Linked DNA regions of Elephas maximus indicus. The protein of the gene in region 2 interacts with the protein of the main gene of each other region in a pairwise test. Links are inferred from orthologs where the notes say so. Each region holds a gene or a part of one and is shown on either strand. Other genes may lie near its edges.

Region 1 (7,305 bases), on a different chromosome or scaffold from region 2:
GCCCTTCTCCATCCCCTGAAACCAATAACCTTGATCATAAAGGACATAATATGTCTGGTTGGCCTCCCTTGCATCCCAAATTTTTTTGGGTTTTTTTTTTTTTTTTTTTTTGGTTTTCTTTTCCTGTGTGTGTATGTGCTTTAAAGTTTACAATTCAAGTCAGTTTCTCATACAAAAACTTAAACACACGCTATTATGTGACCCTAGTTTTTGTCCCTATGACAGCATGCTCCTTCTCTCAACCCTGTATTTCCAGTGTCCTTAACCAGCTCCTGTCGCCCTCTGCCTTCTCGTCTCGCCTCCAGACAAGAGCCGCGCACATAGTCTCATGTGTGTACTTGAGCTAAGAAGCTCACACCTGACCAGTATCATTTTATGTTTTATAGTCCATCTAATCTTTGTCTGACAAGTTGGCTTCAGGAGCAGTTTTAGTTTCCCAGTTTTCTTACTTCTCAGTTTTAACTTGTTATATGGTTACCTGACTTGTACAGCTCAGCCGTTACACAAAACATGAACACTTTGCTATAAGTTCATGCTATAAGTTTCAGATGAGTTAGGGGCTCTAAATAAACAAAACACATAAGTTATTTCACAGATGTTTTTCCCTTCCTCACATGGTTAATTCCCACTCATGCTTAGTCCCTCAGTTCTAGTCATCTTCCTCTGGGAAGCCGTCCCTGAGATCTGACCTGGTCCCCCCTGTCTGTAGTCAGTCTCTCACAGCACAGGTACCCTTTTCTCTTTTACAGTTATAATCTGTTGAATGAATGCATGAGTGAATAAACGAACAGAGTGAAAGCCACACTAGTACCAGAATCGCTGCAAAAGGCAGTAAAGCCAGGCTGCCGACAGGCCTTGGCAGAACAAACAGGTGTGCAGCCCGAATGACTCAAACCTGGATTCAAATCCCAGCTCAGCACTCGCAAGATGTATGACCTTGGGCAAATTATTTAACTGCTCTGTGCTGTTTCCACATTTGTAAAATGGGGATAATAAGAATGGCAAACAGGGTCCTGGTGGCACAGTGGTTAAGAGCTCAGGCTGTTAACCAAAATGTCAGCAGTTCAAATTCACCAGCCACTCCTTGGAAACCCTATGCGGCAGTTATACTCTGTCCTGTAGGGTCCCTATGAGTCAGAATAGACTCAACATCAACAGGTTTGGTTTTCTGGTTTAGTGATGACTTCCCAGGGTGACTGTAAGGATGAAGTAAGTAAAAATCTATTAAACCCTCAGAACGGTGCCACCTGCTAAGCCCTCTCTATATACTAGTTATTGTGTTAGCCCTGAAGACATTATTTTTATCTGTCATTCTATAGTACAGAGCCAAGTGCCCTATCTCTTTCTCAGCCACATCTTACCAAAGCAAAATCCAAACCCACTGCCGTCAAGTCAATTCCGACTCATAGGAAATTTAAATCATCTGGTAGGAGTATGGCCTTTAGAACTTAAGTGAAAGTAAAGTCATTCAACTTCCAGTTATCTTTGGCAACAGGTGAGGATTCATTTTTTTTTTTTTTTTTGTCTGTGTTTTACTAAATCAAGCTCTAGATTAAAAGGAGGAATCCAGAAAGACGACAGACGTGAGGGAAACAGAAGAAGAGTGGCAGCTTGAATGCTTTCCTATTTCAAAGTCTAAGATAAAAAAAAAGATACAGCCATAAAAAAATGGTTAAAGCAATCACCAGACCCCAACCCACTGTGATCAGAGCCACGGACACATTCAGCGTCAGCCATCAACCTTCTACATCAGGCCACTGGGGGCAAAAGGAAAAAAGCAAACCGTGAACCTGACTGTAGGATGTAAGGGACAGTGGGCTGAAGAAAGCCCTGTGTGTTAAGGTCCCTGGGAGGCTGATTTTGCAGGCTCGTCCTCTAGAAAACACTGCACCTTTATACCTTGAATAGTGGAGGGACTCTTCAGGCCGGAATCACCCAACCCCTTTAAGCCCCAAGAGGTTCAGAAAGTGCCTGTGGGACCCACCCAGGCCTGCAGGGCAATGTGTTTTTCAGCTTTCTTTCTATCAGAATCCTCGCTCTGTCCACCAAGAAACCCAAGTCAGTGTCTGCAGCACCTGAGCTGGGCCTCAAAGTGTCCTTTAGACCAGGAAAAAAAAAAAAGGGTAGGACCTACGGCATTTATTTCTGGGTCCTTAGCGCATGGTAGGAGCCCTGGTGGCACAGTGATTAAAGCGCTCGGCTGGTCCAAAAAAAAAAAAAAAAAAGACTCGGCGGTGGAACCTCCCCAGCAGCTCCCGGGGAGGAAGATGTGGCAGTCGGCTTCCATAAAGATTTACAGCCCTAAAAACCCTATGGGGCAGCTCTACTCTGTCGCGTAGGGTGGCTATGACTTGGGTGGGTTTCACACACGGTAAAGCCTGACACACAGGCACGTCCAAATAAATGTGGAAAGGAGGGAAAGAGAAGGAAGAGAAAAATGCTTAAAATGCACTAAAAATAGGCTCACCACCCCGCCGTCCAGATCAAAACCCAAACTTGCATCCCCAGAATACAACAAAAGGCCAGGGCCGGATTTCAAAGAGGAGCCGCTGGCTGCCGGACTTGGATGGCCGCTTGGAGCAGCTGCAGCGCAGGCAGGTGAGCGGGACAAAGCGCCAGCTTTACCTGGAGCAAGGGGTCGACGCCCTGGAGCCCCGCCGCCCAGTGCACGGCCAACCGGCGCTCCCCACCTCGCTGGGAACCGGAACCACACCTGTCCGAGAGTGCGGTCCGGCACGGCCCAGGCGGACGCCCACCTCGCTGGGAACTGGAACCACACCTGTCCGAGAGCCCGGCGCGGCCCAGGCGGACGCCCACCTCGCTGGGAACCGGAACCACACCTGTCCGAGAGCCTGGCGCGGCGCAGGCGGACGCCCACCTCGCTGGGAACCACACCTGTCCGAGAACCCGGCGCGGCGCCCGCGGTCGGAGCCCAGCTCTCAGCTCCCGATTCAAACCGCCCGCCGCCGCCGCCGCTGCCGCCGCCGCTCGGTCTCCATTCGTCCGCTTCCGGCCCGGTCACGCCCACCTCCGAGCCTATTGGTCACTTGTACGTATCGTCGGGCCAATCTGCTTCCCCGGATTCGGAACGCCGCTTCTGATTGGCCCTTTTGAATGGATTTTAAAATCAAGCCGTCGCTCCCGGAGACGCCTGCGCCAGCGCCGAAGTGGGGCACCTCCTGGTTTTGTTGCGGGAGGGCGGGGCCCACGTGCTGCGGAAGAGGCCGGACGCCGATCGGCCGGTGGCGCGGCGGCTGAAGCGCTCGGCTGAGAAGCGGGAGGTTCAAGCCCACCAGCCGCTCTGGGGAGAGCGACGTGGGGGTCGGCTTCCCTAAGATTCCCGCCTTGGGACCCTATGGGGCGGTCCTGCTCTGTCCTGCGGGGTCGCTGTGCGCCGGAGCGGGTCTACGCTGTGTGTTTGGGTTTCTTCTGGCAGAAGGCAGGGAAAGGGCCGGCTGATGAATAGGGCGTGGTCTGTCTTAGAGCCAGCGGGGCGTGTGCGTTCTGGTGAAAACTTGACACTGCACCTGCTTATCAGTTTATTAAATGTTGAACTTGGGACGTAGATACCAGGTGCTGTGTTTGCTATGCGTTCTTCATCCACTGTATCCTTAGCGGTCCTTTGCGGTGACTGAGACACACAGAAGCTAAGTAAATGGAATTTGAGTCCGGACATGCAAGGGTCTAGCTGCTGCCCTCTCTCGATCCCATTCTGGAAAGGAGATTGTGAATACTTGCTACCAAAGATTGATGCCTTGCAGCCAGAAGAATCTTCAAAACTGGATATAAGCCCTCCTTTTCAGGAAGCCCACCAATGTTTTCTGCATTTTATATACTTTATTTCCCTATTCAACTATAAATATTCAACTATAAATAAGCTTGTGAAGGCAGAAATAAAGCAGTGAATTGTTGAATTAATACATTTCTGACCATTTGCAGCTGTCTCTGAATAAGTTCCAAGCTTTCCACAACCCTCCTTGCCTTTCCTTAGAATGTTCCTGAAGCCTAGACTGCTCTTACCTGTCCCCTCCTCTCACAAACGCTGCTCCCCATTCAGTATCCAATTCCAATGTCACTTTCCTCATAAAACTCTGTCCCCACCAGCCATTTTGTTGTTGTTGGGTGTTGTCAAGTCGGCTCTGACTGATAGCGACCCCATGTACAACAGAACAAAACACTACTGGTCCTGAGCCATCCTCACAATTGTTGTTATGCTTGAGCCCATCGTTGCAGCCACTGTGTCATTCCATCTCATTGAGAGTCTTCCTCTTTTTTGCTGCCCCTCTACTTTATCAAGCATGATGTCCTCCTCCACGGACTGATCCCTCCTGATAACACGTCCAAAACATGTGAGACACAGCCTCGCCATCCTTGCTTCTAAGGAGCATTCTGGTCATACTTCTTCCAAGACAGATTTGTTCGTTCTTTGTCCATTCACGGTATATTCAATATTCTTTGCCAACACTACAATTCAAAGGCGTCAATTCATCGATTTCCTTATTCGTTGTCTATCTTTTGCATGAATATGAGGCAATTGAAAACACAATCGCACCTTAGTCTTCAAGGTGACATCTTTGTTTTTCAGCCTTTAAAGAGGTCTTTTGCAGCCAATTTGCCCAATGCAATGTGTCTTTTGATTTCTTGACCTCTGCTTCCATGGGTGTTGATTGTGGATCCAAGTAAAATCCTCGACAATTTCAATCCATTCTCCGTTTATCATGATGTTGCTCATTGGTCCAGTTGTGAGGATTTTTGTTTTCTGTATGTTGAGGTGTAATCCATACTGAAGGCTGTGGTCTTTGATCTTCATTAGTAAGCGCTTCAAGTCCTCTTCACTTTCAGCAAGCAAGGTTGTGTCATCTGCATAACGCAGGTTGTTAATGAGTCTTCGTCCAATCCTGATGCCCCATTCTTCCTCATATAGTCCAAAACAAAAACCCAGTGCCGTCGAGTCGATTCCGACTCATAGTGACCCTATAGGACAGAGTAGTACTGCCCCACAGAGTTTCCAAGGAGCGCCCCAGCTTCTCTTATTATTTGCTTAGCATACATATTGAATAAGTATGGTGAAAAGGCACAACCCTGACACACATCTTTCCTGACTATTACCAATTCCAGATATTTCATATAAATGGAATCATATGATATTTATCCTTTTGTGACCTACTTATTTCACTGAGTATAAAGTTTCCATGGTTCATCCATGTCATAGCAGGACTTCATTTCTCTTAATAAAAACTGAAACTCAGTGCCGTCGTTTTGTTTATCCATTCATCTGTAGATGGAAATTTAGGTTGTTTCTACCTTTTGGCTATTGTAAATAGGGCTGCAATGAACATAGAGGTATAGGAACCTGTTTGCAGTCTTGCTCTCAGTTCTTTGGGGTACTTATCTAGGAGTGGAATTGATGGAACATAAAATAATTCCATGCTTATGTTTTTGAGGAACTGCCAAACTGTTTTCTACAATAAAAAATCAAAAACCAAACCTGTTGCCATCGAGTCAATTCTGACTTACAGTGACTGTATAGAACAGAGTAGAACTGCCCCAGAGAGCCTCCACGGCTATCCTCTTTACTGAAGCAGACTGCCACATCCTTCTCCTGTGGAGCAGCTGATGGGCTCAATCCACAATAGTTGTACCATTTTACAATTTTACCAGCAATGGATGAGGGTTCCAATTTCTCCACATCTTCATCAACACTTGTTGTTTTCTGTTTTTCTGATCATAGCTATTCTGTGGTATCTCATTGTGGTTTTGATTTGGATTTCCCTAATGACTAAAGGAGCCCTGGTGGCACAGTGGCTAAGAGTTTGGTTGCTAACCAAAAGGTCAGCAGTTTGAATCCACCATCTGCTCCTTGAAAACACTATGGGGCAGTTCTACTGTGTCCTATAGGGTCCCTATGAGTCGGAATAGACTCAGCAGCAAAGAGTTTAATGAGTAACGAAAGGAGCCCCTGGTGGCTGCTAACCAAAAAGTTGCCAGGTTTGAGCCACCGTCCTCCTGCCCACCCACAGCAGCTCCTCGGGAGAAAGACCTGGCAATCTGCTTCTGTAATATGGGATCACTATGAGTCGGAAGTGACTCAATGGCAGCACCTAACAACAGTAACAAACGGCTAACGATGTTCAGTACTTCTTTATCTTCTTGTTGGCCATTTGTATATCTTCTTGGGTGAAATGTCTGTTCAAGACATTTGCCTGTTTTTTGATTGAGTCATTTATCTTTTTGTTGATAAGTTGTAGGTGGTCTTTACATATTCTGGAAATTAGGCCTTTATATGCTTCCCCAATATTTTCTCTCAGTTTGTAGGTTATGTCTTTGCTTTGTTAATAAAGTCCTGTGATGCAGAAAAGCTTTTAATTTTGATAAAGTCCAATTGTCTATCCCACCGCTTGTTGCTTGCACTGCCAGCATATATGTTAGAATCCAGAGTCAAAAACTAGGTCCTGAAGCACTGACCCTGTGTTTGCTCTAAGTTATGGCTAAAGTTCTTAAATTTAGGTCCTTGATCCATTTTGAGTTAATCTTCGTATATGGTATGGGGTATATGGGTCCACCTTCATTCTTTTGCATGTGGGAACCTAGTTGTGCCAATACCATTTATTGAAAAGACTATTCTTTGTCCATTGAATGGACTTGGCACCCTTGTTGAAAACCGATTGGCCATAGATGTGTGGGCTTATTTCTGGACTCTCAATTTTCTTCCATTGGTCTATATGTCTATCATTACACCAGTACTGGACTGTTTTGATTACTGTAACTTGATAGTATGTTTTGAAATCAGAAAGTATAAGTCCTTATACACTCAATTCTTAAACAAGGAAATCATGTAATGGAAAACTATTCTAGTAACTTCTGTGCTATTTTTGTGTCTTTTGAATTTTATGGTTCCCTTCTGCCTCTATTTTTCCTCAGTTTGTTTTTTTTGTACTTTAGATGAAGGTTTACAGAGCAAATTAGTTTCTCATTAAACAATTAATACACATATTGTTTTGTGACATTGGTTACAAACCCCATGACATGTCAACACTCTCCCCCTCTCGACCTTGGGTTCCCATTATCAGCTTTCTTGTGCCCTCCTGCCTTCTCATCCTTGCCCCTGAGCTGGTGTGCCCATTTAGTCTTGTTTTGTCTTATGGGCCTGTCTGATCTTTGGCTGAAGGATGAACCTCAGGAGTGACTTCAGTGCTGAGTTAAAAGGGTATCCAAGGGTCATACTCTCAGGGTTTCTCCAGTGCTTCTCAGTTTTTTGAGGGGGAGGAGGTAGGTTTCCATCCAACCACATGTAGATGTCCTCTG
Region 2 (7,613 bases):
CCTCAGTTGCACTGGGGTGGGGCCTGTGAGTCTGCAATTCTAGCAAGCTCCCTGGTGACACTCACATTCAGTGGCTTTAAAATTTAGAACATGCTGACCTTGCAAGGTCCTGTGCCCCATGTGAGGTGGGAGAGACGTAAACATGGCCTGTGCCCTCAAAGATTTTACAGCCTCCCAGAGTAAATGAAACCTCACGGAAATGTCTGCAACACAAGTTAGAGCGTGAGTCCTCTTACTGTGTGACTGGACAAGTTGCGTGACCTGTTTGGGCTTCAGCTTCCTCGTCTGTAAAATGGTTACAGCCTCTGCCTTGTAGGGTTGAGGATTAAAGCAGGATATTGTACTTAAATACTTGGTTTGGTACTTGGCACATAGTAAGCCTCAACGAGGCATGGGGTACACCAGGAGAAGCATGGAATTAGGTGGGCAGGCCGGTGGGATGTAATGGAATTAGGTGGGCAGGCTGGTGGGATGTAAGTCAAAGGGCATAAGATTGTGAGGCCGTTCTTAAGAAGATTTCATCTTAGCCTAAAAACCAAATCCATTGCTGTCTAGTTGATTCTGACTCATAGCGACCCTATACTACAGGACAGAGTGGAACTGCCCCATAGGCCTTCCAAAGCAATAATCTTTACAGAAACAGACTGCCACATCTTTCTCCTGTGGAGCCACTTGTGGATTCAAACTGCTGACCTTTCAGTTAGCAGTCAGGTGCTTAACCACTCTGCCACCAGGGCTCAGTTTCCATCTTGGCCAAACATCCAAAATGTATGTAAAACTGCTACAACTTAACAACAAAAAGACAAGCAACCCAATAAAAAAATGGGCAAAGAACTTGAACAGGCAGTTCACTAAAGAGGATATTCAAAAGATCAACCCCCACAAAAAACCCATTGCCGTCAAGTCAATTCCGACTCATAGTGACCCTACAGGACAGAGTAGAACTGCCCCGTAGGGTTTCCAAAGAGCACCTGGTGGATTCAAACTGCTGACCTTTTGGTTAGCAGCCGTAGCTCTTAACCACTATGCCACCAGGGTTTCTAAATGATCAACAAGCACATGAAAAGATGCTCGACATCATTAGCCACTAGGGAAATGCAAATCAAAACCATAATGGATTTCATCTCACCCTCATTAGAAAAAAAAAAAGGAAAACAAGAAGTGTTGACAAGGTTGTGGAGAAACTGGAACCCTCATCTATTGTTGGTGGGAATGTAAAATTGTGCAACCACTGTGAAAAAACAGTTTGGTGGTTCCTCAAAAAGCTGAGCGTAGAATTACCACGTAACCCAGCAATCCCAGTCCTAAGTATGTATCCAGAAGAAGTGAAGGCAGGAATGCAAACAAAAACCTGCACACCAGTGTTCATCGTAACACTTTTCGCAGTTACCAAAAGGTGGAAACAACAGAAAGGGACATCAACAGGTGAATGGATAAGCAAAATGTGATAGTATACGTACAAAGGACTATTACGCAGCCGTAAAGAGAGAGGAAGTTCTGACGTATGCCACAACATGGATGAACCTTTGAAAATGTTATCCTGAACCAAATAAGTCAGCTGCAAAAGGACAAATTGTACCTAATCTCATTTATATGAAATAAGCAGATATCTAGAAACCAAAGATTATTAATGGTTACTAAGGGGAAAGAGGGAGTTTTTGTTTTGGGGGCTGTTATGGGTTGAGTTGTGTCCCTCAAAATATATGCTGTAAATTCTAATCCGTATGCTTGTGGCAAAGAATATTGAATATACCATGGACTGCCAAAAGAGTGAACATATCTGTCCTGGAAGAAGTACAATCAGAACGCTCCTTAGAAGCAAGGATCTCACATACTTTGGACATGTTATCAGGAGGGAACAGTCCCTGCAGAAGGGCATCATGCTTGGTAACGTAGTGGGTCAGCGAAATAGAGGAAGACCTCCAATGAGATGGATTGACACAGTGGTTGCGATAATGGACTCAAGCATAACAACGATTGTGAAGATAACACAGGACCAGGCAGTGTTTTGTTCTGTTGTACACAGGGTCGCTATGAGTCCAAACTGACTGGACAGCAACTAACAACAACAACATACTTGTGGATATAGTTCCATTTGGGAATGAGTTTTCTTTGTTATGTTAAGGAGAAAGTATTAGTATAGGATGTGTCTTAATTCAATGTCCTGAGATATGAAAGAGCAGATTGAGCAAGCAACTAGGCAGGCAAGCACAGATGGAGGAAGACAGACGCCATGCCATATGAGATCTCCAAGAAGCAAAGAAAGAGAAACTGAAAAATGACAAGGATCTTTCCACTGAGCCGACACAGAGGGAAAGCCTTCCCCTGGAGCTGGTGACCTGAACTTGGACTGCTAGCTTCCTTAACTGCGAGAAAGCAGATTTCTGTTTAAAGTCATCCACTTGGGGTGTTTCTGTTGTAGCAGTGCTAGATAACTAAGACAGGGGGCAATGAATTTATGTTAATGATGGTGGAATGTTTTGGATGAGGATAGCGATAACGGTGGCAGAACATGAAAAATGTAATCAGTGTCACCGAGTTGCAAATGTGGAAGTTGTTGTTTTGGTGGACATTTTGGGGTGTATGTTTTCACCACAATTTTTAAAAAAAAAAAGAGAGAGAGAGAGAAGAGGGTGCCATCCTAGCTATCAGAATGTCCATAGTCTAAGAAGAGGGTCAGGAAGGTGAGGACAGAGAACCAGGAGGATAGGTCTCCTATCAGCAGGTGGCTAACCTCAGGGCTGCTTTCAAGGGAGATGTAAGGATGCTATGGAGTCCCTGGGTGGTGCAAATAGGTAATGCACTGGGCTGCTAACCAAAAGTTTGGAGGTTTGAGCCCATCCAGAAATACCTCAGAAGAAAGACTGGACAATCTTCTTCCTAAAAATCTGCCATTGAAAACCTTATGGAGTACAGTTCTCCTTGGGGACACATGGGGTTGCCATGAGTAGGAATCTACTCAAGGGAAACTGGGTAAGGATGCTGCAGGCTCAGCAAGCTTCCTTCTAGAGATGTGTGGGATGGGTGGGAGCAGGACTTCCAGGCAGATAGAGCTGTGGCTTTTAGCACACTCCCGCATTCCACATCCCTGTGGGTATTAGGGAATTTTCAGAGCAGCTGAGAACAACTAAGGGTTCTCTGGCCCTGGCACTGCCCTCATGCAAAGCATTTGCACAGCGTGCAAAACATCAGCCCCACGGCTGTGGCTTCCGCAGCTGAGTTTACCTGCGTGCTTTGTTTCCTTACTATCTCTGAAGTCCACGGATATTTATGGACTAACTTCCGGTGCTCTGCTGGAGGCTCCTGGGGACACAGAGGGAAACCTGTGCAGTCCCTACCCTCACAGAGTGATCTTGGGGAGAAAAAAACATCATCATGGCAAAGTAATGATTAATGAAGGACCTCGGTAGCAGCTCTTAACAATGGTGCTTCTTCTCTAAAGCTAAACCCACTGCCATTGAGTCAATTCTGACTCACAGAGACACTATAGGACAGAGCAGAACTGCTCCATAGGGTTTCCAAGGCTGTAAATCTTTGCAGAAACAGACTGCCACATCTTTCTCCTATGGACCTGGTGGTGGGTTCAAACCGAAGACCTTTTGGTTAGGAACCGAGTGCTTTAATCACTATGCTACCAGGATGAGACTCATTAACAGATGAAACCTACAGTTTTTGGAGAGGTGAGAAGTGTTAGGTGACTTCAGGCTAAAGTTTTCTGATCTGGTAAAGACTTAAAAGTGGGTCGAATTTGGAAAGGCAGGGGACAACCACTAACAGCTAAAAGGGACTAATTGGATCTGTACCAAGCCAATTACACACATTTTCTCATTTAAGTCCTACAACAATGCTAAGAGGTATCATCTGGTATTATCTCCATTTTATAGACGGGGAAAATGAGACTCAGGGATGACAAGCAGCTTGCTCTTGGTCTCACAACTAAAAGCGGCAGGTCAAGTCTATCTGACTTGAAGTTCATGCTGTTATGTACCACATCATGTACTATGCCTAGTTCTGAGCTGGGCCCCCTTGGGGATAAAAACAAGGGTGATGTCTGCTTATCAATTACCCTCAATAAGCTTTTTTTCTTCCCCTTGCCTGCACCCTCCAAATACAGGGACAGAAGCAGGAAAGTGGGGGTGGGATGGGGAGAGGACAGAACATTTGTCTAGAAGAGCAGTGGGCTACATGCCTGCAGTGGAAACAGGGGACCTTGAAGGCCTGGCTAAGAAGTTCACACACACACCAGTTGCCATTGAGTCAATCTGAACTCATGGCGACCCCATATGTGTCAGAGTAGAGATACCTCCACAGAGTTATCAACAGCTGATTTTTTGGGAATAGATTCATGCGCCTCTGGGGGGACTTGAACCTCCAACCTTTCTGTTAGCAGCTGAGTGTGTTAACCGTTTGCACCACCCAAGGACACCGGCTAAGGAGTTAGGGCTTTTTTTTTTTTCCTCCCCAAACACTGAAGACTTGCTCAACCTCAGCTGAGCAATAAGTCTGACAGGGTTGCCTCGCTTCTAGATGGCAGGGTGGCCCCAGTCTTCCTGGTCGTAACCCACTTCCTGTTCTTGCGCCTCTTTTGTCAGATGGTGATCTTCACCCTTCCTGTTGACTGCTACTTTGTTTTATCTGGTCCAGGGTGGGCCCCTGTGTGCTGCCGTCGATGCAATCAGCGGACACCTGGGACACAGAACCAGGTACACTGGGATGATGGGGAGTGGGAGGTCTCATTGGAGAAGTTCTGGGCCAGGTGAAGGCCAGCCTAAGAGACACCAGGGAAGGAGGCTCCTGGTGGTCTGAGGACCCCCTCTGCTTTTGTGGGGGTGGGATGGTCGAAGGCTGAGGTTAGTTTTTGCCCTGCGATGTTAGTTATGTCCTCGTGGGGGTGAAACAAGGGGTTTGCTTTGGTGGCATTCTGAAACCACCTGGTCTGCCCACATCTCCCAAAGATTCGGATCCCCTTGCTTTGGTTTTCTGTTTCCTGGACCGGCCAGGTAGTGCTTTTCTGGATTGCAGAGGGAGCTCCGTGTGTTGAGACAGGTTTATCTGGTGCTGACTGGACACCTTCAGTGTGACGCACTGAAATAGAACTGAGCTGACCACATTAGGGGCTTCTCCACTGAGCCTGGTTTCTCCTCTACAAAATGGCAAAATGTCCCTATTTTCTGTGATACCGAAGTGGGGCAATGATTGTGAAAGTGTTTCATGAACTTTAGGATTGTATTCTTCAGGGTTTGGGGTTACTTTTATTTTCTAAATGGAACTAGGTGTATTTTTTCCTGGTAATATATGACAGCTGGAAAAAATCAAACAATGCAGAGAAAATGAAAATCGTCACATAATCCCATCCCCAGAGATTGCTGCTATTAATACATTGGTGCATAGACTTCTACACTTTTAGAACTAGTTTTTTTTTTTTTTATGTCTAAGTTTACTTACTGTCCTGAAACCTTTTTCCACTTAATAATATCTCTTGAATATCATCTCATGTTAATTCATGGGCATTTACCTTGTCCTTCTTAACAGCTGTGTTTTGTTCCATTGTGTGGCTGTACCATGGATTATTAAATCAGTCTGCTATCTATTGATGGGTATTTAATCATTTCAACTTGTTGCTATAATAATAAACAATGCTGTAGTGAATTGTTAGTTGTCGTCAAGTCTGCACTGACTCACGGAGACATTACAAGTAACAGAATGAAATGCTGCCCGGTCCCGCGCCATCTTTACGAATGTTGGTATGATTGTTACGGGTATTGTGTCAATCCATCTGACTGAGGGTTTTCTGTTTTCACTGACCATCTGCTTTACTTTATATCTTTGCACTAGTTCCATTATTTCCTTAGAATAAATTCTTAGAACTTGAATTGCTGGATGAAAGGTTATATGTTCATTTATAGTTTTGATTCATTTGTCTGGATTCCCCTAGGAAAAGTCATACTATTTTATTATTTAAAATTTAGTATCTACTTTTATTAAAGCAACACAAAGCTTTCAATGAAAAATAGCTATTCCTTGCCCTATCTCCCCTCTTCAACGTTCTCCCTACCAGAGAGAAACACTTTCAATTCTTACAGTTACTTCTATTTCCAGGTGAGTTGCCTATATGGCTATTTTTTTATTTTAGTCATTATCTTTCATTAATAATTTATTGACTTCTTATTATGAAACCTATGAATGTAGCACTCTTACTCCACCCTATCTCCACATTATTGCTTCTCTATCCTTCTAATATATTTATATCACAAATTTTGGTTAAATCGATATTCACATTTACATTATGTATGTTGTTATGACTATGTAAAAGTTATCTTCTGAGTTATATAGTATATTATTATTGTTTCCTTTCTTTGACAACTCTTTGTTTTCCCTGGAGTTGATAATTGCCTCAGTTTTTCATTTGCTTAGTCTTTACATATGTATATATCACTGATGGCTCTCAATATGATCAGATCTATCAGTTTCTATATTTTTTCCTTTTTTAAAAAATTCCTTACAGACACCTTCCTGAAGCCTCATGCTATTGCTCTAATCTGAATTGGTTGTTCTCTAGGCCTACTGCATAGTGTTGTCCTGGGAAATCCCTTAGCATCGTCCTAGAATCTTCTGCGCTCTGCATCCTACATTTTCCTCTTCATTTACTACCTCATTTTGGTGTCACACATCTTCCAATACATAGGAGGTAATTTTTTTCAGATTCTGACTGAAAAAAATGCCTTTATTCTATTAAGAGTCTAGCTAAGGTTTAGAATACTGAGTTGGAAATAAATTTTCTCTCAGAATTTTAAAGGCAATGCTCCATTGTCTTTAAGCTTCTAGTCTATTTTTGAGAAGTCTGTTCTGATTCCTAATCCTTCATATGTGGCCTGGATTTTATCTCAATGGTGGTTTTTAGGATTTTCTCTTCATTTCTGGGGCTCTGGAATTTTATCAGGGCGTACTTTGCGTGTGTGTTTTGTCATTCATTGTGCTGGACACTTGGGAGACCTTTTCAATATAGATACTCATGTCATTCAATTCTGGGAAAAGTTCTTGGTTATTAGTATTTAAAAAATAATTTCTTCCCCTTTATTGTCTCTGTTCTGTTTTTCTGGAACTCCTGTCATTTGACTGTGGGACTTTTGGGCTTACCCTCTCATTTTTCTTATTGTGCTTTAGGTGAAAGTTTACAACTCCAGTTAATTTCTCATACAAAAATTTATATGTGTATTGCTATGTGACATCAGTTGCAATCCCTATAATGTGACAGCATGCTCCCCCTTTCCATCCTGGGTTTCTTGTGTCTATTCAACGAGTTCCTGTCCCTTCCTGCCTTCTCATCCTGCCTCTGGACAGGACCTGCTTATTTGGTCTCATGTATCTGCTTGAACTAAGAAACAAACTCTTCACAAGTATTATTTTATGTTTTAATTTCTCTCAGAATTTTAAAAGCAATGCTCCATTGTCTTTGTGAGTTTCTAGTTTATTTTTGAGAAGTCTATTCTGATTCCTAATCCTTTGTATATGGCCTGGTTTTATCTCTATGGAAGTTTTTAGGATTTTCTCTTTACCTCTGGGGTTCTGGAGTTTCTCCAGGATGTGCTTTCTGGACTGGGACAGGGGTAATT
Region 3 (7,917 bases), on a different chromosome or scaffold from region 2:
AACAGATATTTTGCATGGAATAACTTAGAAATTCATTCAGTCATTCCTATATTTTATAGTTAAATTAATGAAAATATTTCAAAAGCATCTTTCAAAAAAGCAACTGATACTGCAGAAAACAAAATGTAAAGTTAAAAGTGAAATGCTTCCACTTATATGGAAAGTCTGGAATACACAAATCCATAGTGGTTGTCCAGGGCTGCAGAAGCTGGGGTGATATGCGGAGTGACTGCTAATGGGTATGAGACTTCTTGTTAAAGTGATGAAAATGTTCTAAAATAGATTGTGGTGATGGCTGCACAACGCTGTGAATATACTAAAAAATCACTGAACTGTACACTTAAACGAGTAAATTGTATGGTATGTGAATTATATCTCAATAAAGCTATTATTTAAAAAAGTGAAATGTATGTCTACTGCTAAGTATATAACGTGATGGACCCAACAATTCATCTCAATATATATCCTGTACCTAAATGACAGCCTGGTCTTAACAATTTGTTTAATAGTAATATATAATTAGTGAAAAATGGAAATATTTCCAAAAACACTAACACCCAACCAAAGTTCTCACATGAGCCTGCTCAACAGAAATTTGAAAACAAATGTTGGAACTTAAATACAAAAAATATAAAATCGACAGAAATTTCTAAAACTCCAAAAGCTAATTTTCTAATCCCTTTAAAACATCTGTAAATATGTCAAGGTTAAAAGTGTTCTATAAGACAAGAAACACAGCAGTAGTGTTCAAAAACTTTGCTCTCAAGAGTCTAATTTTGCTTCTCTCTTCTTACCTACAAAAAATGGTTAAATCTTATCTTGGAAACAATTCTAGAAAGGAAAATTTAAGATTTAAATGAACATTTTCTATATTGAGAGATGAAATTACTCATCAAAACTTGATTAATTTATCATCCAATTTGTAAGAAATAACCCCATAAACACGTGCCAATGAAGACTGTTAATAGAAATACTATGCATCAGCCCTAAGACCTTAAAATACCTAGGTTTGACACGCCATCTTAAAAAAGAGTGTGCAACTTTGCTTGTCCTTAAGAAACTGGTAATAACTGCATTCTGACGTTTATTCACCGTCTCAGAATCATCACCACTGCATGTAAGTCTCCTTCACAGTTCCCACATTCCATTCTATTAAGAATGCACTTTAGCACCTTACGTTCAGATTTTCCTTCCCCTCATTTGGGAGTCTTTTCCAACACACTACTAAACAACATGTGCATCACTCAACGCCAGATTCAGAAATAGGAAAAGGCACAGGATGCTGAATAAACATGGAGAGGGTTAAGAGCCACCAAAAAATTACCTAGCTTGTTTCAGTGACAACTTCAATGACCAAAAAATATCCTACTAGTTTCCTCGGGTTTTCTGAATATCCAAAAAACTCACCAAATGGAAACACCCAAAAATAAACTAAGATGTTTCCCAAGTCACTGGTGACACCACCACCTCCTCTTGTCTTCAGTAACAGAAACCGAAGAAGAGGCCTGATGCAACCACTTAAAACAGCCTTATCCACCAGCCCAGGGCAGCTCAGCCAAGACTCTCCAGCATCAGCAGGAGTGGGGGGTGGCGGCCTCTCGCCGTCTTCTCCGCAGGAGCTCCCAGTCCACAGCAGCAGTGCCTCCGCCAGAAAGCTTGGGGTGCAGCAGTAACCGCCTTCCCTCACTAAGGGGGCAAGGCAATCCCCCTTCTCCCCTCACCCTCCCCATCGCAGGGAGTCGCGTTCCGGAGCCAGTCTCCATACCACAGGAAGTCTCCAGACACACTGCGGCAAACAGGAGAAGGCAGTGAAGGGGGAGGGGTCTCAACGTTCCCAAACCCAAACCCACAACCATGGTGACAGGAGGGAGGGGCGCACGCTCAGCGCCCCCCTTCACTAGCCCAGGGCGCAGGGCGCAGCCCCGTACCGCCCCCTCCTCCAACCACCGCCTCGGAAAGTCTCCAGACCCACGGCTCCGGGCGCAGGCGGCGGCCAAATGACACTTGAGAGAGTGAGAGCAGAATCACATGACAGTCCAGGCCACACGCACTTTCTCCCACATGCACAGCCCACACCCCCTCTACCCCTTTGCAGACCCTCCGAGTAAATCCTGGACCGCAGAATAAGGCGGGGGTGGGGTGGGGGGAGGGGCGGAAGGGGAACCGGCAGTTGATGCCAAGGTGGGGGAAGCGGTGACGGTTGGGAGCAGGCCGGGTTCGGCCCGGCGGGCGGTTGGGTGTTTACCTTGATGCACCGCGACGCTGCAGCCGTGCCCGTCGCAATAAACCAGCGGGTTCTCGGCCCAGCCTCTCTCGTCTGAGCAAACGCAACAGCCTCCAATCATCTCCTTCATACTATGGGAGACCTCGTCCTCCAATGACACGGGCCGGTCGCTAGAGACCATCTAAGAGGGAGTTGGGGAGGACCATTAAAAAACACATGCAAACCAATTAGTGCTTCCCCCCGCACAGCCACCCAGGGCCCCGCTCCCTCCCCAGCGTCCCGGCCCCCGCCCGCCGCTCGGCCGCTCGCTCACTCGGGCTTTGCCGCTCAGTCACTCACGTTCCGCACAGGAGTCAGGAGCCATGTCCTTGCTGACTCCCCCCACCTCCCCTCCACCGCCTCCACCGCCTCCTCCTCCTCGTCTTCTTCCCTCCCCACCTCCACCCGGCCGCTAACGCTGAAGCCTGGAGAGGGCACACATAATCAAGTAGGCCTCCGCACAGGCGCACTGGGGGGGCTCCCGCTGGGCCCGGGGCAGCGAGGGAGGGGAAACAGGGCTGCGCTTCCTCCTCCGAGCGTCACTCGGCGTGCGCGCCAGCCCTGAGGCGGGCGTGAGGAAGGAGGCCGAGGAGAGGCGGGGCCTGCGTGCGCGCCGCCGCGTCCGGCCTGCAGCTCCAGCCTACCTCCCGGGCCCCTCTCCCTCCCCCGCGCCGGTCCCAGCGGCGGAGGTGTGCTGCAGAGGGTGGGAGCGAGTGGAGCCAGCAGCACGCCGAGGCCTGAACGGGCCAACGGGGACGCGCACGCGGGGGCGGGGACGTTGGGGCCGCCTCCTGCAGCGCCGGTCGCGCGGGCTGCGTGTGCACGCCGCGGAGAGGCTTTAGATGGAAGGGAAGGGGGAAGGATGATGCTAGGGGCCGGTTGTGGGTTTTGTTAGAGTAGCTGAAGGGCACTCTCAAGAGGGCGAGGGGGACCAACCTCCTGCACCAGGAACCTACCTCACGGCATATTCCTCAAGAACTGGCCCGTGAGTAACGGGTTGGGCATGAATGCCAGCCTTCCATGAGCGGTGTAATGAAGCATGGCTTCCTGCAGTTGGCCATGCTAACTTCCCAGTACTGCCGCAGCCTCTCCACCCATTAAATTCACATCCTGGACTCTACCCAAAGTTCACCAAATGTAAGTGCCACCAAATCCACTGCCCATTTACACACCACATTGGCTCCAGTGACAAATGAAAGTGCATCACAGACTGAAGGTCAAAAGCCTGTGTTAGGGTTATACCGGGAGAGGACTAATAACATCAAGACTACCCTGAGCTTGGTGTGTAGGAGTACACAGAGTTGTTTATCAGGAATTTAAAAAAAAAAAACAAAACCACCAGTTGCCGTGGAATCCATAATATGAAGATCTGGAAAATGCACTTATGCGACGCTAAAAGATGAAGGAATCCAATTTATCCTAGGCAGTCACGAAAATGTAAACACCATGAGATGCTGGAGTCAGTTTTGATTGAGGATTTCTCAGATCTGGCTATGTTCTCCAAATTTACTGTTGAAAATTTGAGGTCATTTAGTGGCAGGAAGTAGAAAAAGAGGTCCCTCAGATACAAAATGGATTAGGCCTATCTGAATACATTAACTAGCACACCTGGCTACTAAGCAAGCTGTTGTAAGATCTTCTTCCCCCTCCCCCAATCCCATATGTATCCATGTAAGCCCAATATTGATTTTAATCAAAAACAGTGTCTAGTTATAAAAGTTTAGCATGAAATAGGAATGTATGGGTAGATTGTTTAAATGACCAGCATGATTACAAGGTGACTCCATGGCTCTGGTTAATATTTTGCAGATAAAAATGAAAGTTTATCAGGAATTAGCAATATATAACATGATGATTTGGAAAATGCAGTTATATGACGATGATGGAGGAAGGAACCCAAGTTCTAGTCAGTAACCAAAAGATAATATATTGGTTTAAGCTTTTAAAAACATTCCAAATATTCTCATAAAGATTAAAAAATGGGTGCATGGCTGTTTTTTTCTATTCCAAATAATTTGCTAGAAATCTATTTAAGAATTATAACAGATATAATACAATGCAAGTATATATAAGCAAATATATTCAAATGTATTAAAAGCTAAATGAGAGATCTACAATAATGGAAATCTAAAGCATAAGATGACAATATACATTAAAGAGACACAAAAATGAGTCTTCTAGCTGTATTAGCGCATTTAGAAAAAGGTTTATACTTATAAAATGTAGATTCTTTCTTTAGGAGATGGCAACAATTAATAAATTTGTGAACATATAATTATGTTTTTAAGATGTAATTGATACTTGACAAAACTAAAAATTGTCTTCAAGCAAAACTATACTGTTTTGTGTATCTTAACTGTGTATTTTATCTTTATGCTTATATAAAGACTACCAACCAGTTCAACATCCAATTCCTGCTCAGACTCCTAAGGTAGAATAATTTTGAATTAAAATCAATGTGAAACTTTCCTTTCCAAAAACTCTGGTTAAGCCTTAATGCACTAGATTATTTAAAAAATACATTTGTTTTATTTTTCATGTATTAGAACTTAGTTCTTATGATGGAATTGATTTATACGTAAGGAAGGGTGGGTACTTTACCCTATTCTGTAACGCTTATTTTAGAAAAATCACAACCTGTAAGAGTTTTGAAGTTAAAAAAAGAAAATATCCTATTTCATATCAAGTCTGTATATAAATAATGGAATCAGGCAGGAATTTGGTTAAAGATGTACGTATAAATGTTGATAACAATAGTCAAATTTTTCATTATTTTAAATGGATTTTAACATGTTGAAATATGTTATGAAAATTATACGAAAAAACAATAGGTATAAATAAGTCATTTTCATTTTAGCTTTTTCTTTTAAGTTATGTAACAGAAGTATAATATTTAGTGTATTTCTATAAATACAGTGAAAACGGACAATAACACATAAAATAGTTCAGATATCTGTTATTTATATATTCATTCGATAAATATTTATTGACCATTTACTGTGTGCTGGGGTGTGTTTTGGATGCAGGAAAAGCAGTGAGCAACTTATATTTGTAAGAAAGCAACTTATATTTATACATGTGTATATATGCATATACAAATGTATGCATGTGTATGTGTACACGCACAATTGGTCAATTTTTTCTGTAACATACTAATTCTCAGACCTCAAAATGGATAAAACTTATTATTGAATTTCCAGAATTGTTAAGAGTTTACATTCCTTTTTAAAATATATAATAAGGTAAAAAGAAATTACCATGGAATTTGTCATGTAACTTCATAAAAAAAGACTGTTTCAATCTTATAAAATAATGTTCCCTTTAAATCTGATTCCACAATCTCAAAATATCCTTCTAAAAAGTACATCTAGTACCTGTAGAACAAAATAAAAGTCCATTGTATCTAATATTCTTCACATAACAGCAGCTAACTCAGTACTAGCTCATCTATTTCTCTGAGGGAAATCACAAAAAACTCAAGTATTTTACGATGTAACCTCTAACTCTTAGTGGGAAACTATAAGCAATATGTCTTTTAATAATTTTCTTTTTTCCTTAACCTAGGCACCAAATACTTGTATTTGCTTTTTCATAATCATTTACGTAAGTAGATACCCTAAAAGAAATACTTACAACTACATTTGGTTCATAAGTTAGTATTGTTCATATTTATCTTCTTTTTTTAATGTTTTCTTTCCCTTTTGTTTATGCATATTATATTTAGTCTGTTATACCCATTGTTGAGGTAAATTTGTATAATGCAAAGAACAGATACACTTTCCTTCACTCAGTTTCTTGACTTCTACAAAGTGTTTAAAATTCTATTTTGCCTCTGATCCTAAGTTTTTTAAACAAAAAGCAATTATTAGGATCAATGTGTCCACTAAATCTTATTGAAACAATAATCTTGTTTCTAAATAAATTAATTGGAAAACTCAAAAAGGCACGTTCTTTATGATCTGTACAAACTTTCATATCTGTCATCTTTTACATAAAGGAATCTCTAGTTAAAAATTTGTTTATCTGGTGGCCAAGGGTTCTTATCTTTTACCTGAAAAGTTTATCATAAGCCATGTATTTAAGTTACTATGATTAAAATACTGAGCTATTTCTGCATCTAGTTTTGTTATTTATCTCACCATAAATGAGTACTGTATCTTTATAGATACAAACACACGCATGGCACCTATATCATGGAGTACTACATTACAAATTTTCTAAAAAGGTATTTGTTTTTAATTTTGTTTTAAATCGAGATACTATTAATAGTTTTTAGAAATTTTCATTTCATGCAGAGTTAACCTTACTGGGTGATTTTTTTACTTACCATAACCCTTAGCAAGTGTCTTGCACATAGTAGGCCCTCAATAAATGTTTATTTAATGTGCAGTAGTAGTGTTTACAAGCTAATTGCAGTTTGAGCTTTATTCTTCAGAATAAAGCAAAACTTTACTTTGCATGTATAATTGAATTAAATTTTCTAAGTAATGATTAACAAATTTTCAGATAAATTTAAAGATTTTCAGTAGTTGAAGTTAATATATGTAAAGACTTTTTGTTTACCAGGTAGTTTAGAATTGTCTGTATTTAAATAGTCCTCAAATGTTAACCACCTTTCATGCAAAAGTAATAATTTTATTACAGAACAGACTGTAACTTACAATCAATCATAATTAATATTGTTAGATACAGTTAATTTTTGGAAAGTTTAGTTAGGTAATTCTAAAATTTAAATTGTATATAATCTAAATAAATCTTTTTAAGAATAAAGGCCTAATATTTACTTTAGAGGTTTGGTTTGGTTAATCTTGTGTTTGTCTTCGGAGCCATTCCTTTTGCAATTAAATTGATATCTTTTGGTTGTATTTACATTTTTGGGTAAAACACCATGTAATTACCAATAGAAAAATAATATATAAAAGCTGCCTTCAGATCTTTTGGGTGTTACATAAATCCCAGGAACATTCCAGAGTTGGGCTATTTTTTTTCCATGATGTAACAATACTTAAAGGTGTTACACTTTGACTTTTCAGGAAACCATCCATATAATGGAAGAGTGGGATTGTGAAGTCCAGGTTCCCAGTTTTCTACTGACACTTAAGATTTGCATTTCTCTTAAAGTGTGATTAAAGTGATATATTTCTGTGTCTTTATCGATACAATAAGGCTATCTAAGGGAAAAGATTCTGGATATGGAAAAGAGGAAAATCAAGTTTTGAAATGGAAGAGAACCATGAAAGAAATGAAACATATCTTGGACTAAGGGGGGGAAAAAAGGAATTAAAGTAGTTGCTAAAGACTACTTTGACCAAAAAAGGTCATTTTTTTAAATTTAAATATTTTCCTTTCTGAAAGGGGCCACTGCTTAGCAAATCCAGAAACAAGCCCAAGAATATGTTAATTAACTGCATTGTGTCCCAGAATGAGACTGACAAATTCAGTTTTTTAATTCCTTCCATTAATAAACTGTCTAGTACATCTGAGATTTTAAAAATTTATAATGTGTATATTTACCCCTTGAAATTGTACAGTAACAATACCAAGGACCAACATGACCCCATAGGGTGAATCTTATGAAGCTTAACATTCCTGACGAATTAAACACACAAGCTCCAGATCATTTTTTGTCAGTTTTACTTCACTGTGGCACTTAG
Region 4 (7,552 bases), on a different chromosome or scaffold from region 2:
GGCAGCTCTTCCCCAGTCATCTTCTGAGTACCTTCCAACCTGGGGGGCTCATCTTCCAGCACTATATCAGATAATGTTCCGCTGCTATTCATAAGGTTTTCACTGGCTAATGCTTTTCTGAAGTAGACTGCGGGGTCCTTCTTCCTAGCTCCCACGTGCCTGTCAGTTTGTTGTACTGTGGGGGCTAGCGTGTTGCTGCGATGCTCGAAGCTATGCCACCAGTATTCAGATAGCAGCAGGGTCATCCATGGAACACAGGTTTCAGCTGAGCTTCCAGACTAAGGCAGACTCTTCCTAGCTAGTCCAATATATTCCTACACTCAAGTTTACAGAACTTAAAACCAGATCCTGGATTGCCTGTTATTCTTGCTTTTCTGACCCCTTCTTGGCCCCAAAGTAGTTTATTTTAAACCTCATAGCTTTATATAATGGTGCATTGAATTTAAATTAGAGGAGGGGCATTTGTTATCCTTCCCAGTTACTAATATAGTTCTCAGCCACTCTGTGTACCTTGAATTATAACTACTTATAATTGAAGATAAGAGTGAACGACACCTAAATATACTGCCAGGAGACCTCCCAAATCACTTCCAACTCTAGATTAACACCTGGGATATGCCCACTTTTTTTCTTTTTAAATCACACTGGAAACTTTGAGATAACTTATTATGTCGGTACAATATTACAGAACTGTGAGGTAACTAAGTTTTTCTGCTAGAATTCTCATATCAAAGAAGAATCACTGAACCTCTCCAATTTCTTGCTGAGAGGCCACAAACAACTCAAACCAGGAGCTATTCTCTGAGGGGTCAAACAAGGACTGCATTTAAAAGTTTAAAGGAAAGGATGAGAGGTGAAAATGGCATCTGCAGATGGGCATGCTGCTTCCATGGTTGTTCCAGGACAGTCAGAATCAAGGAGAGGAAAAATTCCACTTAAGTTTTGAAAGCAAAAAAGTAAACTTTGACTCTGCTTTTCACGTCAGAGCTTTAAAATCTTAAAATACTATAATAGTACAAAAAATTATATTTAAAGTAATTAAGAAAATCTATAAAAATGGAAGAACTATCATGGAAAACTGCGAAAGCATTTAGCATTTTTACTTCCTAATCAAAAAATGGAAATCAAACCCATTGCCATCGCGTCCATTCTGACTCATAGTGACCCTAAAGGACAGAGCAGGACTGCCCCACAGGGTTTCCAAGGAGAGGCTGGTGCATTTGAAGTGCTGACTTCCTGGTTAGCAGCCAAGCTCTTACCACTGAGGCACCCAGGGGTCCCTTTTATTTCCTAGCTGAACATAAATGAAGGAGTATCAGTAATGTTGACATGTACAGTTATTTAATAAAAGAGAAATAATTGTCACGGAAGACCAAGAATATTTATTAGCCTTCCTTTGAGCATGAACTAGGCAAGGCATTTTGGGAAAACAGTGGTGAATATACAAAACCAAATAAATCAACAAAAGCAATACAAGACAAACGAATTTCGAGCCGCAATTTATCTGATTGCATACTAACATAATTCTTAAATTATTAGGCACACTCAAAATAATGAAGTGCCACATATAAAATAACTCTAACATACTTTATATGGGAATACAAATTTCTGTCTTAAAGGGCATTATCTTTTCATGGTTCGAACCCACCCAGGGGCACTGCAGAAGAAAGGCCTGGTGACCTGCTTCTATAATGGTTACAGCCAAGAAAGGCCTATGGAACAGCTCTGCTCTGCCATGTGGGGTTACTATGAGTAGGAACAGGCTCAAAGGCAATGAGTAACTCTTTAAATGAGTGGTACGTTTAGAGTCAGTTATGTTTTCTTTCCTTACAGAAGCTGTGCTATAAACAAATAAAAATTAAAAAATGCTACTAAATAAATAATAAAATAAATCCTAAAAACCCACAATAAATTCAGGTCCCGTTTATTGATACACTGTTAAAAGTAGGATTTAAACACTGTTTTACTATATTCTTTGCCTTCTGGCTATATGTTTTCAGTATTTTGTTATCACATTAAATGAAATGACTTTAAATTTTGTTACATTCAAAAGAAAATTATTTACTCTTTGATTACTGAAAGCAGTACCACTGTAGCATATTACTGCAACATTAATTTACAATTAACTCTTTTACTGTATCAAAATGTCTAATATTAAACAGTTTCCAATGCTTGGATAAAGGCTCAAAATTACGTCAAAAGCATTAGGAGAAACTTTTATGGAGGCCAAAAAATGTTACCAACCTCAAAAACTAAGCAGAACCATTCATTCAGCGCAGTACTTTTCTTGCTTTCAAACGAAAAGTTTTAAGTGATCATATAAATATCTAACAATGCTTGAAACATCATTAGACTGATTCTTTTACTCCTCTAGGTTGAATATTGAGAATGTCGACAGGTTGTAACATTGTTGACAGCTGTAAACAATAAATAACCTTTATAAAGTCTAGAGTTACTAGAAGATAAACTTTGTAATCTCCTAGAAAAATCTTCACTTTGTTGCAGGACCAAGTATAAATAGCAGCTAACATTTAATGATTGTTTCTTAAGTGCCAAGCACTGATTCTTACCCTTATTTTCTATTATAATAATCTGTAATTATTTTATCATCTTTATCTCCCACTATTCCAGAGACTCCATTGGGGAAGGGACCTTGCTTGTTCCTTACTGTGTCCCCAGCACCTAGCATGTGTAAACACAGTAGGCAGTGAACATTTACCAAACGAGTCAATGTTCTAAATAGTTTAAATAATTTTTTTTCTCCAACTGTGGGTTATGCAAATGAAACATAATGGAAAATAGCGTCTATTACACGTAATAGAATAAGTTTTCTTTAGCGATATTTGTTATATTTGCCCCATGTGTACGTCCCACGTAAAATGTAGTTCTTACCCTGGGGTACCATGGAAAAACAAGTAGGAAAATTTCTGCTTTACATGGATTATTTTGTTTGCTCCTCACATTTAACCCTGTAGACAATACATCAACCTCTACTTTAAAAAAACAAAACTGAGCTTTCTAGGGTTATATAAGTTGTCCAAGATGGCAGAGCCATCTACTACAAATATGACCATCACTTCCATAGATACTCACTTATGGGAAACTGTACTAAAATAATCTGAATTAAATGAATAAGGTTGCAGTAACAGTGATTGTGACATGATTAAAACAAACAAACAAAAGGACAGGCTTTGAAGGAAGACAGGACTGAATTCAATCTCTGGCTTTGCCAGTAACCAGCCGTGTGGCCTTTAGCGTGTAATTAAACCTCTCTGAGCCTCGATTTTCCCATGTGTAAAATAGGAATAATCATAAAGTTACTGTAAGTTTTAAATGAGCTAATGTATGTAAATAGCCTAGACCACTAAATAGAAGCTATTTCGATTAAAACCATTATTATTGTTTTTCCCCCATCCAATAAATCACTTTCATCTTACTAAATCAGAATTTGAATGTGTAAAAAGTGTGAATCAGAAACTAATTGGATTAAAGAGCCAAGTATGAGAACTGGGCAAAAGTGACATAGAGCTGTCCACAAGTTTCTGCTGGCACTGGTTGAGAAAGATGCCTAAATCAGGATCAGAGAGTTGGTTCGGGTGGAATCAAGGGAAGCAACGCCGCTCAACCGTCAAACAAACTCATACGATTTCATCCTTCCTTAAAGATTAGAGCAACGCCCATCTCCTTCCTATACAGCCAGGCTGGGGCTTAACCAAGGTGTCAGGAAACGCATCTGGTCAGTTCCCGTCCACGAGGCCCTGGGTACCAAGGGGCTGGGGCACAGAGGTTCGGAGCAACTCACCCCGGAGGCTCCGTTGATATTGCCCTAGAATCTCCTCTACGGCAGAGTTCCCTGGGGACTTCGCCATGCCCGGACCCGGGGCCCAAGATGGGAGTTAAGTGGGACGTGTCCAGAGGGCTCCGCTCAGAGAACAGGCCTACCGCCTGGGGAGGGCCCGCCTGCTTCCTGCAGCTGCTGTCACTGGGGAGCTTGGAACCCGGGACGGAGCTCGTGGGGGCTCTTCCCACCCACTGGCCCTAATGGTGGACGTCGGGAGTGGTAGTCCACAGGCTCAGGACCTCCAGCCTCGAGATACTAAGCCCTTCCAACTACACTACAATTCCCAGAGAACACCGCGCTCCAGGAGCAACTTCGGCGGTTCGGTTGCCAGAGCCGGTTGCCAAGAAACAGCTTGGAGGCCCCGCCCTTTTCCTATAGCTCGGCCTTCATGCCATCCTTCTGTCTGGACCACCTAACTGACGGAAAGATTTCACGGTCGGCCTTGGGAGTCTTCGAAATGTTCTAATACGCGGCTGACCTCTAAGGCTTCTGAAGGACTCAAATGACAAGCTCTGAATCTTTTCATCCTTGAAATTTGTCACAAAGGCCAAATCAATTCTCAAGAAAAAGAAGCTCTATATCTCCGAACAGCCTAGACAGTCTAGCTTGTGAAGGCGGCCGACACTACAAATCCTAGCTTGCCCGGCGACCCGACCTCCCGTTGGCGTTAGCGCACTGCTCGCTGGGAACTGTAGTCCTTGTTGGTTGCGGTTCCGCGAATGCCTGGGTCGTGTTCATTGTTCGAGATGTTCTTGGGACACGCCTGCGCAGTGGGCAGCTGAAATAGCGTGTGGGTGAGACCCTCCGCACAGCCCCTTTTCATTGTCTGTCTTGGCGCCTGCGCAGTAAGGGATTGTTGGGACAGGGCAGGAGGAGGGGATAGGGCTCGGCTCCTCGCCCTTTCCCAAGGCGCCTGCGCACTAGCCGGTCGCTCTTTGCCGTTACCGCTATGTGTGGGGCGTGTGTGGAATAACGTTATTGCCCAGCGGAGCTGAGGGGCCCGGAGCTCGACAGCAGCGACAGCGACAACGACGACGGGGTGGGAGGAGGACGGCGTGCGAAAGACTCACGGGACGCGACGCGCCCCGCCTCCACCGTCCGGTCCCTCTCGCCACAGTCAGGGGTAAGTGATGCGCTCGGCTGCTCTGGCTCGGCGCTGCTGATGTCGCCGCCGCCGCCGCTTTTCCACCTCCTCTTCCTGGGAGAGCCTCGGGTTTGCGGCATGGGCTCGGGGTGCGGGGCCGGGAGGCGAAGGGGGCGCTTCCCGGATGCTCCGCGCGGCGCCGCCACCCCGCCCCGCGCCCGCCTCAGGGGCTCGGCGGGGCCGCCCCTCCCATCCCCCGCCCCGGGTCCCCCGCCCCTCCCATCCCCCACCCCGGGTCCCCCACCCCGGGTCCGCCACCCCGGGTCCCCCGCACCGGTCCCCCTGTCGTGCCGCCAGCCCGGCCTTCTCCGGGCCACTGCCTCTCTTCCCCTAAACGTCTAGAGTCGTTTCCAGCGCCCCCGCCGGCTTTGTGCGGTGCACCCCCGACCCCCGACCCCCACCCCCACCCCCGTAGCAGCAGCGGTTTGTGGAGGGTGCGGACGCAGGGCCCGAGGGAATGGCTGCGCTGGCGCGGGGAGGGGGTTTTTCCCAGATCCGCAGCCCTGCTGGGGCAGCGGACAGAGCCGGTCCTTTTCGTGTGGTCGGTTTTGGGGTGTGGGACGGTTGGGGGAGGTCGAGCGAGGAGCCCTTTTGGACGCAGTTGGAGGGCGTGGAAGACGTGGTGTCACGCACCCCGCCTGGCGATGTCAACCGCGTAGGCTCCAGCTCCATAGTAAACCCGGGGGAGGAGAGAGTGGCTTCCTGTCGGTTTCATTGTCCTGAAATCCAAGTGTAGGGTTTGGTATGGTCCCCTTCGTTTTATGCAAGGGGAAAAAAATAAATAAATATCTGCCTAACACAGGGCGGGAAGAAGTGTAGTCTAGGTCGTAGAATCTGCTTTGGGTGTTTAGTTGAGTTTTATTTGAAGAATGTAAGGTCCTGAATAGCAGGGACTGTGCCTGCTGCTGGAGCCCAAACGCTGCCAAGGTGATCAATATGAAATTACTAGATGAAGAGCGGGCTACGAAGGGACTGACAATGCAGCTGTTTGTAGCAGGGAAATGAACCAGCAGAATTGTTTTTTCATTGGGTGGGTAACGTATTCGTATTCCTAAGAGAATAGATTTGGACACATCTTTCCGTTACATTTTTTTAAGAACTCAAAACAAAGCCAAACAAACAAAAAAAGAGGCCTGGTATATTTCCTCTTTCTGAAGTCGTTTGTTAACATTTTTCATTCTCTTAATGAAATTTCGCCCATTTGGGAGGAATTATAGTGAAGCAGATAATATGTGATTGGGAAAAAATCTTTTAAGATGATTTGATCGTTAAGCTTACAACGTTTGCGGGCGTTTCTACTTAAGATTAGCAGAAGAGAGAATGAAGCAGGGTGGGGAGGAGCAGATGGAGGAAAAATGTAAGATTGTGGGAGAGAGTTACATTCTGAATACGGTATCTAGATCTTCACTGATAGAACCCAAGTTACAGGCATGCTTCAAAGATTTCAGAGTTCAGCTCTGGAAATATTATATTGGTGAATGGCAGGTTACAAGAATTTTGTTTTTTCTGCCATTATTTTATGTTCCCCAGGGCTGCTGCTTGTTCTTTCCAACTTTGTAGATACTGTAGAATTTTGGTATTTTAAAACAGAAGAGTCTGAGTGCACTTGACAGAAAAAAAAGAAAAAAACCCCACTGCTGTGGAATGGATTCCCACTCGTAAGGACCCTGTAGGACAGAGTAGAAGTGCCCCATAGGATTTCCAAGCCTGTAAATCTTTACGGAAGCAGACTGCCACATATTTCTCCCACAGTGTAGCTGGTGGGTTTCAATGGCCAACCTCTAGTTTAGCAGCTTAGTGCTTCGCCACTGCATCACCAGGGTTCCTTCACTTGACTGAGGGAAACACTAAAAGTCTGAAAGTTAACTGACTTGTCTCCAAGCCAAACTGCTAATGGAAGGCAGAGCCGGATAAAACCACGATCTGTTCTGCAGAGTGCTGTTTCCTGTGTGCCTTGTCTTCTAACCCTAGTACTCCTACGCTGTGAAGATTTATGGATACCTTCTCTACATGCTTTTTCGACTGTTTCTTAAGAATCAAGTTCATTGGTATTCCAGTTGTATTAATCTAGTCCTTTTTCCTTGTGATGAAAGTAGCAATTCTGCTGAAATGGAACTTAGTTTTTTAAAGTAACTTATTGGTATAAGGAAAGATGCCTTAACATCGGTTTTTCATAAAGACAGAGACTGTTGGAATTAGCGACCATGTTTTAATATATTTCTTGGTATTCAATAGCATTTTATAGTATGATCAGTTCTGCAAACTGTGTTAAAACTAAAACTGTCACATAAGAAAAACCTATTAAGTTCATTTTTCTTTGATTAATGGATTATAATATTTTTAACTTAAGTTAGAAGTTACCTACTGTGAAAAAATTCATGTTGGACTGTTTTTCAAAATTTTAAGCTTTTTTATTGAGTTGATTTTGCCATTAATCCTTTTATGTTGCCTCATAATTTTTATCCTTTAATTCCCACATTGGATTTTTATAAACATATTTTCTTTAGAATTTAGTAATACTTCATTTAAATTTCGACTTAGTTTTAAAAAAGTAGTCTGTAATTAAA

Evidence for each region.
Region 1: the proteins of NDEL1 (region 2) and CENPF interact in binary tests that used the Homo sapiens proteins (3 or more experiments, as listed by UniProt). The link is inferred for Elephas maximus indicus from reciprocal best matches to the Homo sapiens genes NDEL1 and CENPF.
Region 3: the proteins of NDEL1 (region 2) and MLLT10 interact in a two-hybrid assay, tested with the Homo sapiens proteins (2 studies listed by BioGRID and IntAct). The link is inferred for Elephas maximus indicus from reciprocal best matches to the Homo sapiens genes NDEL1 and MLLT10.
Region 4: the proteins of NDEL1 (region 2) and CEP170 interact in a two-hybrid assay, tested with the Homo sapiens proteins (2 studies listed by BioGRID and IntAct). The link is inferred for Elephas maximus indicus from reciprocal best matches to the Homo sapiens genes NDEL1 and CEP170.

Annotation. Positions count from the first base shown.
Region 1 is NC_064842.1:3,497,023-3,504,327, reverse strand, and holds the start of CENPF (centromere protein F), read right to left. Parts: upstream 3,004-7,305; 5' UTR 2,896-3,003; exon of another isoform or gene 2,714-2,895; intron 2,709-2,713; exon of another isoform or gene 2,626-2,708; intron 1-2,625. UniProt on the Homo sapiens protein: Required for kinetochore function and chromosome segregation in mitosis. Required for kinetochore localization of dynein, LIS1, NDE1 and NDEL1.
Region 2 is NC_064837.1:12,341,214-12,348,826, reverse strand, and holds the start of NDEL1 (nuclear distribution protein nudE-like 1), read left to right. Parts: upstream 1-4,599; 5' UTR 4,600-4,703; intron 4,704-7,613. UniProt on the Homo sapiens protein: Required for organization of the cellular microtubule array and microtubule anchoring at the centrosome. May regulate microtubule organization at least in part by targeting the microtubule severing protein KATNA1 to the centrosome.
Region 3 is NC_064822.1:34,533,303-34,541,219, forward strand, and holds the start of MLLT10 (protein AF-10), read right to left. Parts: upstream 3,007-7,917; 5' UTR 2,908-3,006; intron 2,880-2,907; exon of another isoform or gene 2,663-2,879; intron 2,616-2,662; exon of another isoform or gene 2,538-2,615; intron 2,406-2,537; coding exon 2,246-2,405; intron 1-2,245. UniProt on the Homo sapiens protein: Probably involved in transcriptional regulation. In vitro or as fusion protein with KMT2A/MLL1 has transactivation activity. Binds to cruciform DNA.
Region 4 is NC_064842.1:20,966,725-20,974,276, forward strand, and holds the start of CEP170 (centrosomal protein of 170 kDa), read left to right. Parts: upstream 1-4,546; 5' UTR 4,547-4,964; intron 4,965-7,552. Other genes in the region: SDCCAG8 (serologically defined colon cancer antigen 8), read right to left, coding at 3,803-3,869.